Linked DNA regions of Schizosaccharomyces pombe. The protein of the gene in region 2 purifies or fractionates together with the protein of the main gene of each other region. This does not show direct contact. Each region holds a gene or a part of one and is shown on either strand. Other genes may lie near its edges.

Region 1 (7,040 bases), on a different chromosome or scaffold from region 2:
GCTACAATACCTTCTGGACACTGTTCGCTTGCAAAAGATGAAGCATGATCAATTGCAGAATAAGCGATTGGTGATAGTTGCAAGTTTTGTTGATAACTATATGCAAGGAAGGTACGAGAAGACACCGCCAACACCGTATTTTGATTTTTCATGGTTATTGGATAGATCTTGACAGCTCGTGGACCCAAGAATCTAGTCCTTGTATCCAAAAGTTGCCCGGATGTAACGTCGATAACAGTTCGTAAATAGACACCATTCATTAAACCTATATGTAAATAGAGAGTACTCACACCATTTACGTTCATCGGAATTATGCATAAAGAATTGGCAGGAGAACTAAGGGCTTGTACACTCAAATTTTCTAAGGTTGTGTACAAATCGAGAGACAACACCCTCACCGTAGCATCGTCACATGCTAAGCACATAAAATTACTTCTTCTTGATCCTTCTTGTACGGGGCCTAAAGCCAAAGAAGTTACATTAGCAGTAAGCGTTTTTCTTTCTTGATATTCGTTGAGCTGACCTCCTTCAACATCATCACTCATTTCAAAATAAACGAGTTCTCCATTGCTTAAAGCAACAACTATTTGCATATCATTAATTGCCGACTGTACAACGTACACATCCTGAGGTAATTTCCATTCACTTGTTTGCTTATTAGCCCTAATATAACGAATACCTTTAGGATGAATTTGAACCAACGAATCCCTTCCCATTTGCCTCGCATTTAGAGTTGAGACTGATGATAAAAATCCACTATCAGATATTTCTTCAACCGTCTCTCCAATAGAAAGAACCAAGGTTCCATTTGTAAACGAAAGAATAATATAAGAGTCATAAACGTCGGTTTGATTTAATTTCAATGTCCAAATTGCAATAGGGGCACCGGGAAGTTCTGACGCTACGATCTCTGTGGTTTCTAAACCCCTTCTCAACTGACGCAGAGAAGAGTTTGAGCCTCTTCCACATACTGTATATAATTGATTAGCTTCGCCTGACGAGGGCGCCTTCATAAGTAACGTATCTGTTAACGAATATAGGCTTGGTATTTCTTCAACCAAAGAAAGGTTCTGTAGACCGCGGACTCCAAAATGCACATTTTTTGTACCGACTTCATTGTCCTGGGCTTGGAAATCTAAAGAAGTAATTTCCAATTCATCATCATCAATACCTAAATTCTCAAATTGATACAATTGGTGGTTTCCAAATTCCGTGGCAACGAATAGAAAACCAGTTTTCAAAATATTTAACTGAACTGCCAGGGGAACTGTATCAAAATATTTTAACCTTAGTTCAACAACATTCCCTTGACCATCATGCTCGATTGTCAGCTTCAGCAAATCCCCGTCACCAGTTTGTAAAAGATAAAAAAACGATCCTTTCATTTTATGGAGAACAGCACTAACAATCAAAGGACCATCATTTGCAGAGTTTGAATTGACTTGATTCCATGGAGTGGATATGGCGTTTGCCGATGCAGCTTGACGACGCAAAATGGGAATTTGATGAAATGCCTTCTGAAGGTGACGGTAGGAAATCCATCCGTTAGATATTACTAGTGTACCGGAGGGCCCATCATTACCACCGGGAACAGGGATTAACATATAAGAATTTCTGTCAACGACCTTCGACCATCTTTTGACAACATGGTTTAATCCCAAATCCAATTCGTAATATGATAAAACCTTTTCCGAAGATGTAAATGCTTCTCTAGTTGAGTCATGGTCTATTTCGCTGTAGTCGACTTCTAAGGCAGCGAAGATGGGATTAGCATAACCAGTATCTAACCCAATTAAATGGAAACATATATTATTAGCTTTATGAGCTTCAAGTGGTGAAGATATTGTTAGGTTAGCCTCTGAATCTCGATTTAGTACGTAAACCAGCTTATTTTTCTCCACAGATGCAATCATAGCGGCCCTCCCCTTCGCATCTATGGCTAAGTATTCACCAGGAACAACTCTTCGAATTCCTGATTTTCCAAAAGTTTCCTGGTATATTGGCACTAATTTATTTTTTTCAACGTTATATTCCAAAATGGTTATTCGTCCTGAATCCGACGTGACTACGAGATAATCGCGTTTAAAACCAGTTAATCTCAAAGGAGCAACATTTCGAATAATACCAAAACAATTTTGATTTAAAATACAATTCATTCTCCCATCAGTTGCATCAACTTTATATATAAGCAACCTTGATTCTGTAGCAATTACTATCTCCTGTGCCTTTTTACCAGACAAGGACGCGGCACACGAACTTTGAACATAATTACTATTCTGTATTGTTAAGGAATATAGAAACAGAGAAGGGAAGGTGTCCATCTCTATACTTTAGCTGAAACACGATCCTCGCTGAGAGAAGAAGTCAGTGTATCAAGGAAACTTATAGCAGAAGGTAAAAAACTTCGTTATATGTTGACTTTTCTAAATGAAGTTATTGCAATTGAAAATATTGTATAAATTTTCTGCTTTTAAATTATATTAAAGAATTAAAAAAAAGAAAAGAAAATTTAAAAGACCGCTACAAAAAATGTAACTTGCTCTTCAAAAACAAGAAAAAAAAAACATTACGACCATTAAACATAAGCTCATTAAAAAGAGAATAAACGATATCTCGAAGATTCCCTTGAAATAAGGACTCCGTAATCGCTATTCTCAGAAAGGGCATATTCGAGTGTTGAAGGAAGGAAATCCTTCTCAAATTCATGCAGCCATAGGCAACTGTTTAGTGGAATGAAAGGAAGATGACTGATAGCATCAAGGTAACTGTTTTTTTGCTGGTGCTCAAAAAAGGTTAAGGGAACGTCTGCTAAGCAAATTTCACATAAGAAGCACTTCTCCTTTAGTTTTCCAAGTATTAAAATACTACTTCCGTTTAAAAGCTTCATGTCTAAAACAGTTGCGGGCTGGAAATCCAACAGACTGCTTCCTAGTAATTCTGCATAATCCAAGCCAAAGTGGCATCCAGATACAGGCAACATAGTATTTTCCATAAGTTGGGAAATTATTAAGAATATATTCGGAGTATCCTTTCGAAAGAATAATGAAAATAATTGGTTTTTTTCATTACAGGATTTTGGTATAAGAGATGATACATTCCAATCAGTCCCTTCAAACAAAACAAGGTCTCCGGTTTTTAACCATTGCTTTTGACAAGTTAAAGAAGGGTAGCTAAAAATGACGTTGAATGAGTCTCTTAAAGATTCTTTCAAGGTTTTGAATGATACGAAATCATCAACAGAATTACTGTCGTCTTGATTTGCAAAATCCTTGAGAGAATAATAATCAGGATCTCTTAGCTGAAGGGGTTTTGTGCCCATAAAGTAACTTGTTAGTTTCGAGCGGAATAAAGAATGACGAATATAAATTACGGTTTCATTAATATGTTCAATAATCTCTTGCGGTGGAATAGAAGATGGTTCAGAAGTATTAAACTCGACGATAGCGTAATTCAACCATGAAATAAAGTGCTTCATATACTTTTTTTCCTCAAAAAGGCAATTGAGAAACGAAAAAACATTATTCTGTAAATAACCCAAAGTTGCTAGACAATCTTCCACCAATTTAGCATCTAGTAATGTGTTTCCCTTCATATGGCCCCATATTGACTTTCCTCTGGCAGAAGATAATAATACAGTTAACCTTTCACAAGCAGGTATTACGAATTCCTGACAGAAAATGATTAAGGACGTGTACGAATTCACCATCGCCCGTTCCCAATTTTTTAGTACTCGATCACCGACTCTTTCGTTGATCCATTCTTTGAGTAAGTCGCTGGGTATACCGTTCATTATAAATTGATATAACTCTAGTTGTAAAGAAAAGAAAGTTGTGTCACTGTACTTGGACACTAAAGCATCAAAGGTTTTAATAAAGCTAGCTTCTGATTTGAAGACATTGTCAAATTCTTCATACATAGCATTCAATACCTCCTCAAGATATCTTACCAAATGTTGCATACGTGTAGACATTGTTGCAATATCCACAATACTTCCCAAATCATTTTTAAGTAATGGCATATAAAGTGTTTTCAAAGAAATATTCGTTCCTCCTTTACAAATAAGAACATGATATGCTAAGTCGTTGGTTATGCTGTGTGAAATGGGAACCCCCTATAATTTGTGTGAGCAAGACATTTAATAACATGGGTATAATACCAAGTTCAAGGCTGATTTCAAAGAATCGCTTTCTCCGATTTTGTAAGACGAAAACATACTATGAATAGTTAGTACTTCTAATTTGTATCGATCGATAAAAAAACTTCTTTTAGAAAGATGCTAATAAATAAGGGGTTTTTGATACGCACTTTATGTATCTAATTCCACGTTCATCCAAAATACTTAAGAGCTCAACTTTTTTGTTATTTTCACCCTCTCGTTTCCTCGGCTCAAAAAATTGTGCGATTGCTTTTGAAGAAAATATACGTTCCCTAAAAAATGTAAGAGACAAGTCGCTTTGTGTTACTACTTACTCTTTTGCCGAACTAGGAAGTGTACCAAGTAAAGGCATATATGCAGTGGCATCAAATAAAAAATCATTGCGTTTTTCATTTACTATCGTTTCTTGCATGGCCCATGTTATCATTAGAACCGCTAAATCTCTGGAAGCTGGCCTTTGCTCAACCAGATGTCCTGTGGAGGAATCAATAATTTTAAGCTCTCCATTTTTAAATCCAACAACTATTAAATTCCCTATTTATGTTAATGATACAAAAAAAGTTTTCCAGTCGAGCCACGTACCATCGTGATTCCAACACAATTCAGTAGCCTCGAGATCATGAAAATCGACATCCCAAATTCTTTGACTGTTACTTCTACAGCAAATCAAATGATTTGAACACGTTAATATCGCAATGAGTTCCATAGAAGGGCATAAGATTACTCGTTTAAGGCCACTTCCAACCCTTTCAACTCTATTAGTTTCATTAATCCATTCAAATTTATGCTTTTTAGGGTATTTGAAAGATTTTGACACCATTTGGATAAGACTGGATGATTTTGGTGATTCGTAGAAGTTTGTTTATTGTAGTACAGCAAGTCAATAAAAGCCTGTTCAGGTATATAAAATATCTAGTGAATGGATAGTTTCAACAATTATCATACAACCTTTTTAAATTTGCTAGCATAGATGGTTTATTAGGAAGTAAGACTGATATTGCAAAACTGAAGTTGATGAAAGTTGTAGGGATACAAAACATTAAGAAAGCGATTATCCAACTGTGCATACCTCGTTAGTACGATGTTTATTTACATCTAAAGAAAAATCATTTCCTCATGGTTCAAGTTCGCTTAAAATAATTCTTTAATGATAAAAATTTCAATTGAGTTTGGCAATAAGAGATTCACTTTTAATAATTGCTGATTGCTATGTTTTAAATACATTGTAAATAAACCAATATTATTCATTAATTCAATAGCTGAAATTCTAGAATCGTTAAAAAAGTCTTTCTTTTACGCATTATATATCTTTTAATCGAAGGAGATGCCTCATAGTTGGCCTTCCATGAGGGCAATTCCAAGGCTTGCTCAACTCAGCAAGATGCCTAACTATTGTATTCATTTCGGATATAGTTAGAGCCCTACCAATCATGACACTGCTTCTACAAGCCTTTGAAGCAAGCATTCGCTCAAGCCTACTACTAAATGGGTCTATCTGTGGGTGCTCAGACAACACACTGATGATCTCTAGTAAATCTACAGAAGTTAAAGGTCAAGATCTTCGTTAATAAACTTACCACTAGTGTCAAAAATGACATTCTTACTCGTGGGAACTGAAAGAAGAGTGCAGCGATTACCAACTCGCTGATTTAAATCTATAGCAACGCCGAATCCTTTTCTTCGAATTAAATCTATATGGTCAATTAAAACAGTTTCCTCTGTAGCAGCTAAATCCAGTCTTTTTGGAAGGACTAAGTCTTGGCTGTTGATAACTAAATTACTTTTGAGATGTTCATAGTTGAACTTTTCATCGCTGGCATGTTGATCAATTATAAACAAATTGTTTCCATGAACAACCACTATGAATCCTCTATTGAATTGACCAACAACCCTCATTCTTAAAAAATCGGCTTTATGTACAGTTAGATTCAAATGATCTTCCTGATTTTCATCTGAAATATCATGCACCACGCCAATCTTGTTCGAAAATTTCAGTAAGGCATCGCTTCGAACAATATCTTTTTGCACTCCACTCAAAGATATATTTATTTTTTTACTAAACTTGTTTAAACCATCCAAGGGCCTAGATTGAAAAAATTTGAGCTTTTGTAGCGCTGCAGTTTTTGACGGAATTCTGTTCGCAACACTGGTTTGCTCAGTACGAGGAATGCTCGAGAGTGTGGAAACTGATTCTGCGTTGTGTACCGACTCAATCTCGTTTAAATTAATTGTTTTAGCAACAGGTGTTGATGCTGGACTTGGATCATTTAGTAACAAATTGTTAGGATTCGAGCTAGGTTTATTGATGGGTTGCTTTAGTGGGAAACTAGAGTCTATTGTTTTCTGCATAGAAGTATCAGTACTAGAAGCGAATAGGGCAAGCTTTTTCTTCATTCTTTCGGAAGAGGCCGTAACTTTTTCGTTTAATGGGCTACTTCGTCTCATAGAATCCTTTTGCAAACGCTCTGGCAAAGGTTTGGATACTTGTGCTAATGACGCTCCTTCTGCAACACTAGTGGATATTGCTGGTTGAGCAGTAGCTTCTACGAGCTTTCTTTTACATGGTGAGCGTTTATAAGAAAAACTTGAGTCATCACTTGTTTCGGATTCTGTTGCTGGAATTGACTGAGGCAATTCCTGATCTGTACTGTCTCCAGAGGAATCAGGAATTTGCGAGGAATATGAAAAAATGGATTGCGATCTGGAACAAGAAATTGCATGTCCGCAGCTTTCACATAGGTTTTGCAAGGAGTTTTTAATAAATTCAATTATGGAATCCTCTTCAGACAAAAATACAGATTTTTTGTCTGGAGATACATTGATGTCAATAGTTCCTAAAATAATTGGTTAGTAATGAGTGAACGTATATAGATTCTCTCAAACA
Region 2 (6,535 bases):
AGAGGCTGAGAGTAAAAATTACATCACTTCTGAAGACTTGCATTTGGGCTTTGATTCCACCTATGTTCAGAAAAAGGAGCCTGAAAAACCTAAAAAGACTAAAACCAAAAAGGAGACCATCCAGGTCATTGAATCTCTTAATAACCCTACACCTCCTACTGATTTTCCCGGCGCTAAAGAGCAAGCTTCTACTGGTAATGCCCCTAAAAATCCTGTCAATGAGAATGAGTCGGAAGATGAAGAAGGGTTGTCTCTTTCTGAAGATGGTAAGAAGTTTGCCAATATTGATTTTGGTGATTATTCTTCATCGGAAGAGTTTTTGAAAGAACATTTAAATATCTTGGCAGATGAGGAAGAATCTGATGCTATTCTTTTGGAAGCCTTTAATGCTGAACTAGAAGGGAAGCCGTCCTTAGCAAAACAATATGTTCATCAAGCCCTTTTGATCAGCTATTGCAGACAGCTTGGACCAAATGGTTTATCAATATTTTTTCAAAAAATTAAAGACCCAAATCACCAATCTCAGCGGCTATTTTTAGAGGATGTTCATAATACATATGTCCGAATCCATGAACGTTCTGCTGCCATCAGCAAAGAACAAGCTGAAAGCGGTGAAGGAGTAGAACAAATCCAGCTCTGTGCAGTTGATCCTAATACGAAACTTTCCATCACCATCCCGGAGGCAGGTTCTACTGATCCAGAGACACAAAAAGCTCGTGCAGCTTTTGAGTCTTTTCCTCCTAACCTCCAAAAAGCTCTTATGACCAATGATTTAGACAAGATTAATGTAGTTCTTGGAAAAATGGCAGTTGAAAATGCAGAAGAAGTTGTGGAAAAGCTCAGCAGTACTGGTATGTTGAGTATCGAAGAAGGAATCATCGACACAACGAAAGGTGAGACTATTCCTCAATTGTCTTAAATTTTTCTGCTTACGGGTGTGCTTTTAGTAAGCGAAAACACCAAAGTTACATGTTTGCCGTTGGCATTTTTAAATGGATAAACAACAATGAAATTTTATTTATTGATTTACCATACCTTGTGTGTACCGTATAATAAAATAAGTATTTAAACAATTTGTACATTTGCCATCAAAGCAACGTGGTCGCTGGGATATCTTCCTTCTAAAGGCTCCGCTTCCTTCATCTCACTGGGTAAAGGCACACGTAACAGTGCCTTTAATTTTATACCTTCAACGACTTGATTTTCGGGAGTTTGAAGTGAGGTATCACGATTCATAACAAATATGTAGTCCAAATGGCCCTGGTAAGCATGAGCCCAATTGGTAAATGCTGGATGATCAAACGTATTTTTTGCATTTTCTGGGTGAACCAGTTTATAGCCCACTGAATAAAGACTGAAAAGTACGGGATTTTGCTCGTGCTGCTGATAAAAAGAACGGTAGTGAGGTACATAGTCATTTTGTACATGCAAAATTCTCTTTTTTGGGGTAGAAGCTGTGGATTCGGGAACACTTGAGGTAGAAGAGGATTGACATTCTTCTTTGTCATCTTCATTGGAATCATTTTCTGTCTTAGTACTAGCATTTTTTTCTTCCAACTCAGATTCCCCAAATACGTAATTCATACTACGTTCTATAATGTCAGTAGCCCTTTGGCAGATGGATAGAGGGCGGGTAGTTAGCGCAGGAAAGTTGGTATCGAACGGTTCAGTGTTGAAGTCACCAGCTATAAAAACAGGCCAAGAAGGATGACTTTGTGCCATCTTGTTTACTTCCTTTACCAATATTGCACCTTGGCGTAACCTTTCGTAAGAGCCGTAAGGATGCCAAAATAAATGTGTAGTAGCCAAGAACAACCCTCTGCTCGGGTCATCTACCCTTTCAAGGCGTACACAACAACCGATGTTCTTGGTGTTCATTCTACCTGGTAATTCATCATGATCATCGTAATAAATAGTCAAATCTTGCACCTTTTTGAACAAAGAGGATTTCCAAAAAATCATAATTCCATGAGTTTTACCTTCACCTTTTATGAAATGCAATTCATAACCCAATCCACCTAATAACTTCTTGTAGAAATTAGGAACAAATTCAGCATCAACTTCTTGCATACATCCCAAAGTTGGTGAATAATAGGTTAATTCATTAGCGAGCATTCGTGAGCGATTTTTCCATTTTAATGCCTCACCACTGTGTGGAAACATTGAACGACGAATATTTGTCTGAGCAAGTACGTTGTAAGTCATAATAGTAATATCCAATGCAGACTTTTCAGTTTCAAACGGTGCATAATTAGGGATGGAGAGCATTTCACGCTTTATAAAGTCCGTATTGAATTCGGGTGGAGCATTGCTTGGTGGAGCAATAGGTTTTCGAGCAGCCTTCTTAGCTAATAATCAGTTAATAAAATTGAGCAACAAAAAATTAAACAAAGGAGTAGAGATTCGGTCTTAAAAAAAGTTTCACAACAACCTTCTTATTGTTGCTCGACTAGATGAACGAAAATTTTTTTTCATACCCATTTTCTCAAGTTTTTTTTGGCGTTGTTTCTCTATGTATTCAGGCGTTACGAACGAAGGAGGGCCTTTAGCTGAGCCTTTTTTCTTAACGGGTATCGAATCTGCCATCTTGTTCTTTTTCTGATCAAAGAATGATATAGCAAGTTTGGATAATCTATAATCAGTGTGGAATCGATCGATAAAAAACTTCAAAGTCAATGTACACGTTTTAGGACAAGTGTACATACAATGACTTTTGAGTAGACTTTATTTAAGTTTTCACAGCCGAAATGGATTAACGACTGTTGGTTCGTACAACCTCAGGTATATCATCTAAAATACCGCATACTAGCGTGCTCTCCTTGATGCCTTCTGTTCGCTTCAAGAAAAGGAGCCATTGGAGCTTCTTTGACTGATTTGAAAGGATCTGTTTCAAAATTATCTTCAATTGTATTTTTACCCTCGGCATTTGAAGAGCCTTGAATGAATGCAAAGGCATTAACTAAATCTTCGAGTTCCAAATCTTTCCAAGCCGGTTCATGCCTAAGCTGTTTGTTTTTCATTAAGATTAGATTTGCACTAGAATGTTGAATAGTCATCTCATCTTCTGTAACAGGTGGTAAGTGTTCTACTCGCACTTCGACATCGTCAACTGGAAGTCTATCTTTTAGCCAATCCGAGGCAAACAAAACTACTCCCGGTTTATTCATATGAACATAATTGTAATTCGAATCCATTAATTGTTTTACTGATTCCAAGTAGGAGACTTATGGTGCTTTTATACGGTTGGTGTTATTGGAGAAGTCGGTGGTAAGTGTGTAAACAAAGCATTTAGCAGCAAAGTCTACTAGTTGGGGGGAGGGAGATCTTTCCATGAAAATCAATTATAAGAATTCTAGATTAATTTCTTATTCACATAATTCTATGAACTTTTAAGTAGAAATAAAAATCAGTTAGGTGGTTTGCTACTATTCTTCTCAAAACCTTCGTCTCTTAATCTATTTATTCCTATTGGCATGTTATTTTTCTTGATAAATAAGGTAAATATATGTGCTTGCTTAGCTTACAAATTTCAAAGAATGACACTAATAGTGCAATGTTTTACTTAAGCTATGATTGTGTCCAAAACCCTAGCAATACTGACAGAGTTATAATGAAAAATTAAGCGTATATTTCACAATCATATAATCATATTCCCCCTTTTCTGAAAAAATGTCAATGGCAAATCATATACTGTTTTGAGTTAAAGAGGCTTTGGCAGATCATAAATCAGCCATCCTAATTAGTAAAAAGAATACAAAATTGTGATGGTTATGTTAAAAGTATTCCTAGTCATTAGTGCATCACCTTAGAGTCATGTGCTGTATATATATATGTGTCTACCTTTGCATAAACAAACTTGTATTCCACAGTCAAACTAGTACAATACACATCGTTCTGCGAAAACGTTCTGTTTATTTTTCAGCAAAAAATTAAAGTTTAAGCTATCATTCATTGCCAATCGCATATCAATTCCAAGATTTATTCATTGTTTATTTACATTTGGAAGCTAAACAATAACTTTCACGGAAGCAACAACACAACCAACAACCAACCCTTCAGAAGTAACTTTCGGAATAATTTTGTATTCAAACCTATATCGTTTATCATTCCTTTGGATTTCTTTTAATCTTTCTTTCGAACACGAAAAACTTACTCTTCACTAAGCTTCGAAATTTCCAATCAAACGATTTAACAATAAGAAAATTTTGTGCTTAAAATCACCAAAATGGATTCTCATGTTTTAGCATTTCCAATTCCTGATCCATCTACACCTCCTCCCGAAGAGGCATCCCTTTATGCTAGTAAATGTGACTATTATGAAAGCGATATTTACTCTCAAATTAGGAGATTAACCGAAGAAAAGTGCATTGAGACAGAAAAAGAGTTGCCAGTTAATATAAAACTACATGTCAAACATAAAGGAATGAGCATATCATCTTCCCGCAATGAACTAGTGGTTACTGTTTCAGGAAATTATAAAAATGTGTACACTGCAAAAATAAAGATTTTGCAAGCCATTCCCAAAATTCTAATCAGCAAACTTGTGCTCGAAGAACCCCTCGAAAACCTCCTTTTTGATGAAGATGGGTACGTTTATGAAGACACTATGAAACATTTGGACAAAATAACGGAAATAACGGGAGCAAAAATTTATATCATGCATCGTTCCATGTGTCATGATATCGATTTTCAGCTACGTACTGACAGCGGATTCAGCAATCGATTAAATGAACAACAAAGCTTCTACCAAAGGCATTTAGAGTCTACTAGGCATGAATTTTCATGTCAAAAGAACGCAGAGAATTCTTTTTTTATTGTCTTTTATGGTGACTATTGCAGCGTTGAACATGCTAGAATTCGCGTATTAGCATTAATGGATGAAATCAGAGGATTATCGGTAGTAGCTATTGCAACTTCTGTATCTTTTCAGCCAATTCTCGTTGGAAAAGCATTTTCTAGTACTGCCGGAATGAAGGCTACTGAATCAATTAATATTTATACATTACCGTTTTGCAGCGACTCAATCCCTCGGCTTCAAACCTTACCCGCCTTAAACTCAAGTAAAATAATTATTACAGGAGAAGAGGAAAAATTGCAAAGACTCGAAGAGGCGTTTTATTACGCAGAAGAACATCTAAAACTGTTTACTCACGTAACAGAAATTTCATTTGTTAAGCTTTTCGAATTTCTCGCTTACGAAATGGATGAGCTTCGGCTTATTATGGAAGAAAATTCTTCGTTTATTCGCTTTCCTGAGTATTTCAAAGAAGGAGGAGAAACGAGCCCAGAAAATTCAAAAGTCAAAATCTACTCATCTTCTATAGCGAATTCTGAAAAAACAGCACTCCGATTGGCAAAGCTTGCAAGTAAATATGTACAAGGAAAAACTCAGTTTGGAGTTGAAGACAACGAAGACTTTCTGAGAGTTGCTGGTTCTTGGAGAAGAGCGTCTACAATTGAAAAAGGAGTTTCAAGCTCTGAATTGTCCTCTATTGTATCCTCGACTGGCTCCATAGTGGAAACAAATGGAATAGGAGAAAAAATGTCATTCTCTCCTCTTAAGAAGCTAAGTATTCCACCAACAGAATTTGTAGCTCAAATTGCAATAATTTGCATGGCTTCTGGAGTCGAAATGCTCCTAAAAACCAATGGGATTGAATATTTCGGACAAGAAAACACCGTGCCTATAGCAATGGATAAAGCAAGCAAAATATTTTATAAATTTGGACAATCCCAATGGCACCAGATACTGCTTGAAGCCCCAACCAAGGATCAAGATTTCATATCCGGTAAAAAAAATGGAAAACTGGATAAGGTAAAGCAGCAATGCCGTTTCAACTTAAAGAATGGGGACATCTTGTTTTGTCCCCAGTCGACGAGTATATTCACGGTTGATATATATAGTGACGAATTGGAAAGAGTAATTAAAGGAATGAACACAATGTTGCTTGAATTTCCAGCTGAGATGCACTTTTACGTTCCAGAGGAGATTCACAAAAAACTCATTGGATTTCGAGGAGAGCAAATCCAACGTGTAACTAAACTTTATAATAGTTACATTGAATTCTCAACTACTCCTTTTGACTGTTACGGGCACAACGTGCTCATTCGCACACCATCAAAGTTCTCCGAAAATTTGTGGGCCGTCCGATCTTTATTCATTAAGACAGCTGAAGGATTAGGATACGACATCCCGAAGTATTTGTTTGCTAATTGAATTTTAAGTCAGAATCCAGTCATCGACCTGCCCATAGATCACCACACTTTCTCGTTATATTTTTTATGTCCATAACAGACACTCAAGCTGGTTATTAAATTCGGAAACTAAATTTTTTGAAAATCAAAAGTGCTCCACTGTATCAACTTTGATACACATCTTAAGTGCACAATATAATTTAATGAACGTGATCCACGCAGAATTTTGAAGCACATGACAAGTTTAAACTTTAAGCAGTTCAACGATTTGTGCAGGACGGCAACCACTGTTCGTATGCCTTTTTTATTTCTTATTTTGTTAATAAATTGTCATTGAAAA

Evidence for each region. Proteins that work in one complex are often made in the same cells at the same time.
Region 1: the proteins of apc13 (region 2) and cut20 purify together in Schizosaccharomyces pombe (affinity purification with mass spectrometry; 4 studies listed by BioGRID, with this or other methods). This does not show direct contact.

Annotation. Positions count from the first base shown.
Region 1 is NC_003424.3:4,039,444-4,046,483, forward strand, and holds cut20 (anaphase-promoting complex platform subcomplex scaffold WD repeat subunit Apc4/Cut20), read right to left. Parts: upstream 5,182-7,040; 5' UTR 4,977-5,181; coding exon 4,739-4,976; exon of another isoform or gene 4,691-4,738; coding exon 4,471-4,690; exon of another isoform or gene 4,429-4,470; coding exon 4,306-4,428; exon of another isoform or gene 4,286-4,305; intron 4,215-4,285; coding exon 4,157-4,214; intron 4,131-4,156; exon of another isoform or gene 4,112-4,130; coding exon 2,591-4,111; 3' UTR 2,366-2,590; downstream 1-2,365. Other genes in the region: prp12 (U2 snRNP-associated protein), read right to left, coding at 1-2,321; MutL family mismatch-repair protein Pms1, read right to left, coding at 5,457-5,692, 5,734-6,990.
Region 2 is NC_003423.3:1,832,102-1,838,636, forward strand, and holds apc13 (anaphase-promoting complex TPR lobe accessory factor Apc13), read right to left. Parts: upstream 3,255-6,535; 5' UTR 3,195-3,254; coding exon 2,787-3,194; downstream 1-2,786. Other genes in the region: Hsp90 co-chaperone Cdc37, read left to right, coding at 1-919; SPOM_SPBC9B6.11C (CCR4/nocturin family endoribonuclease), read right to left, coding at 1,066-2,348, 2,478-2,703; SPOM_SPBC28E12.02 (BICC1 family RNA-binding protein), read left to right, coding at 4,226-6,217. UniProt on the Schizosaccharomyces pombe protein: Component of the anaphase promoting complex/cyclosome (APC/C), a cell cycle-regulated E3 ubiquitin-protein ligase complex that controls progression through mitosis and the G1 phase of the cell cycle.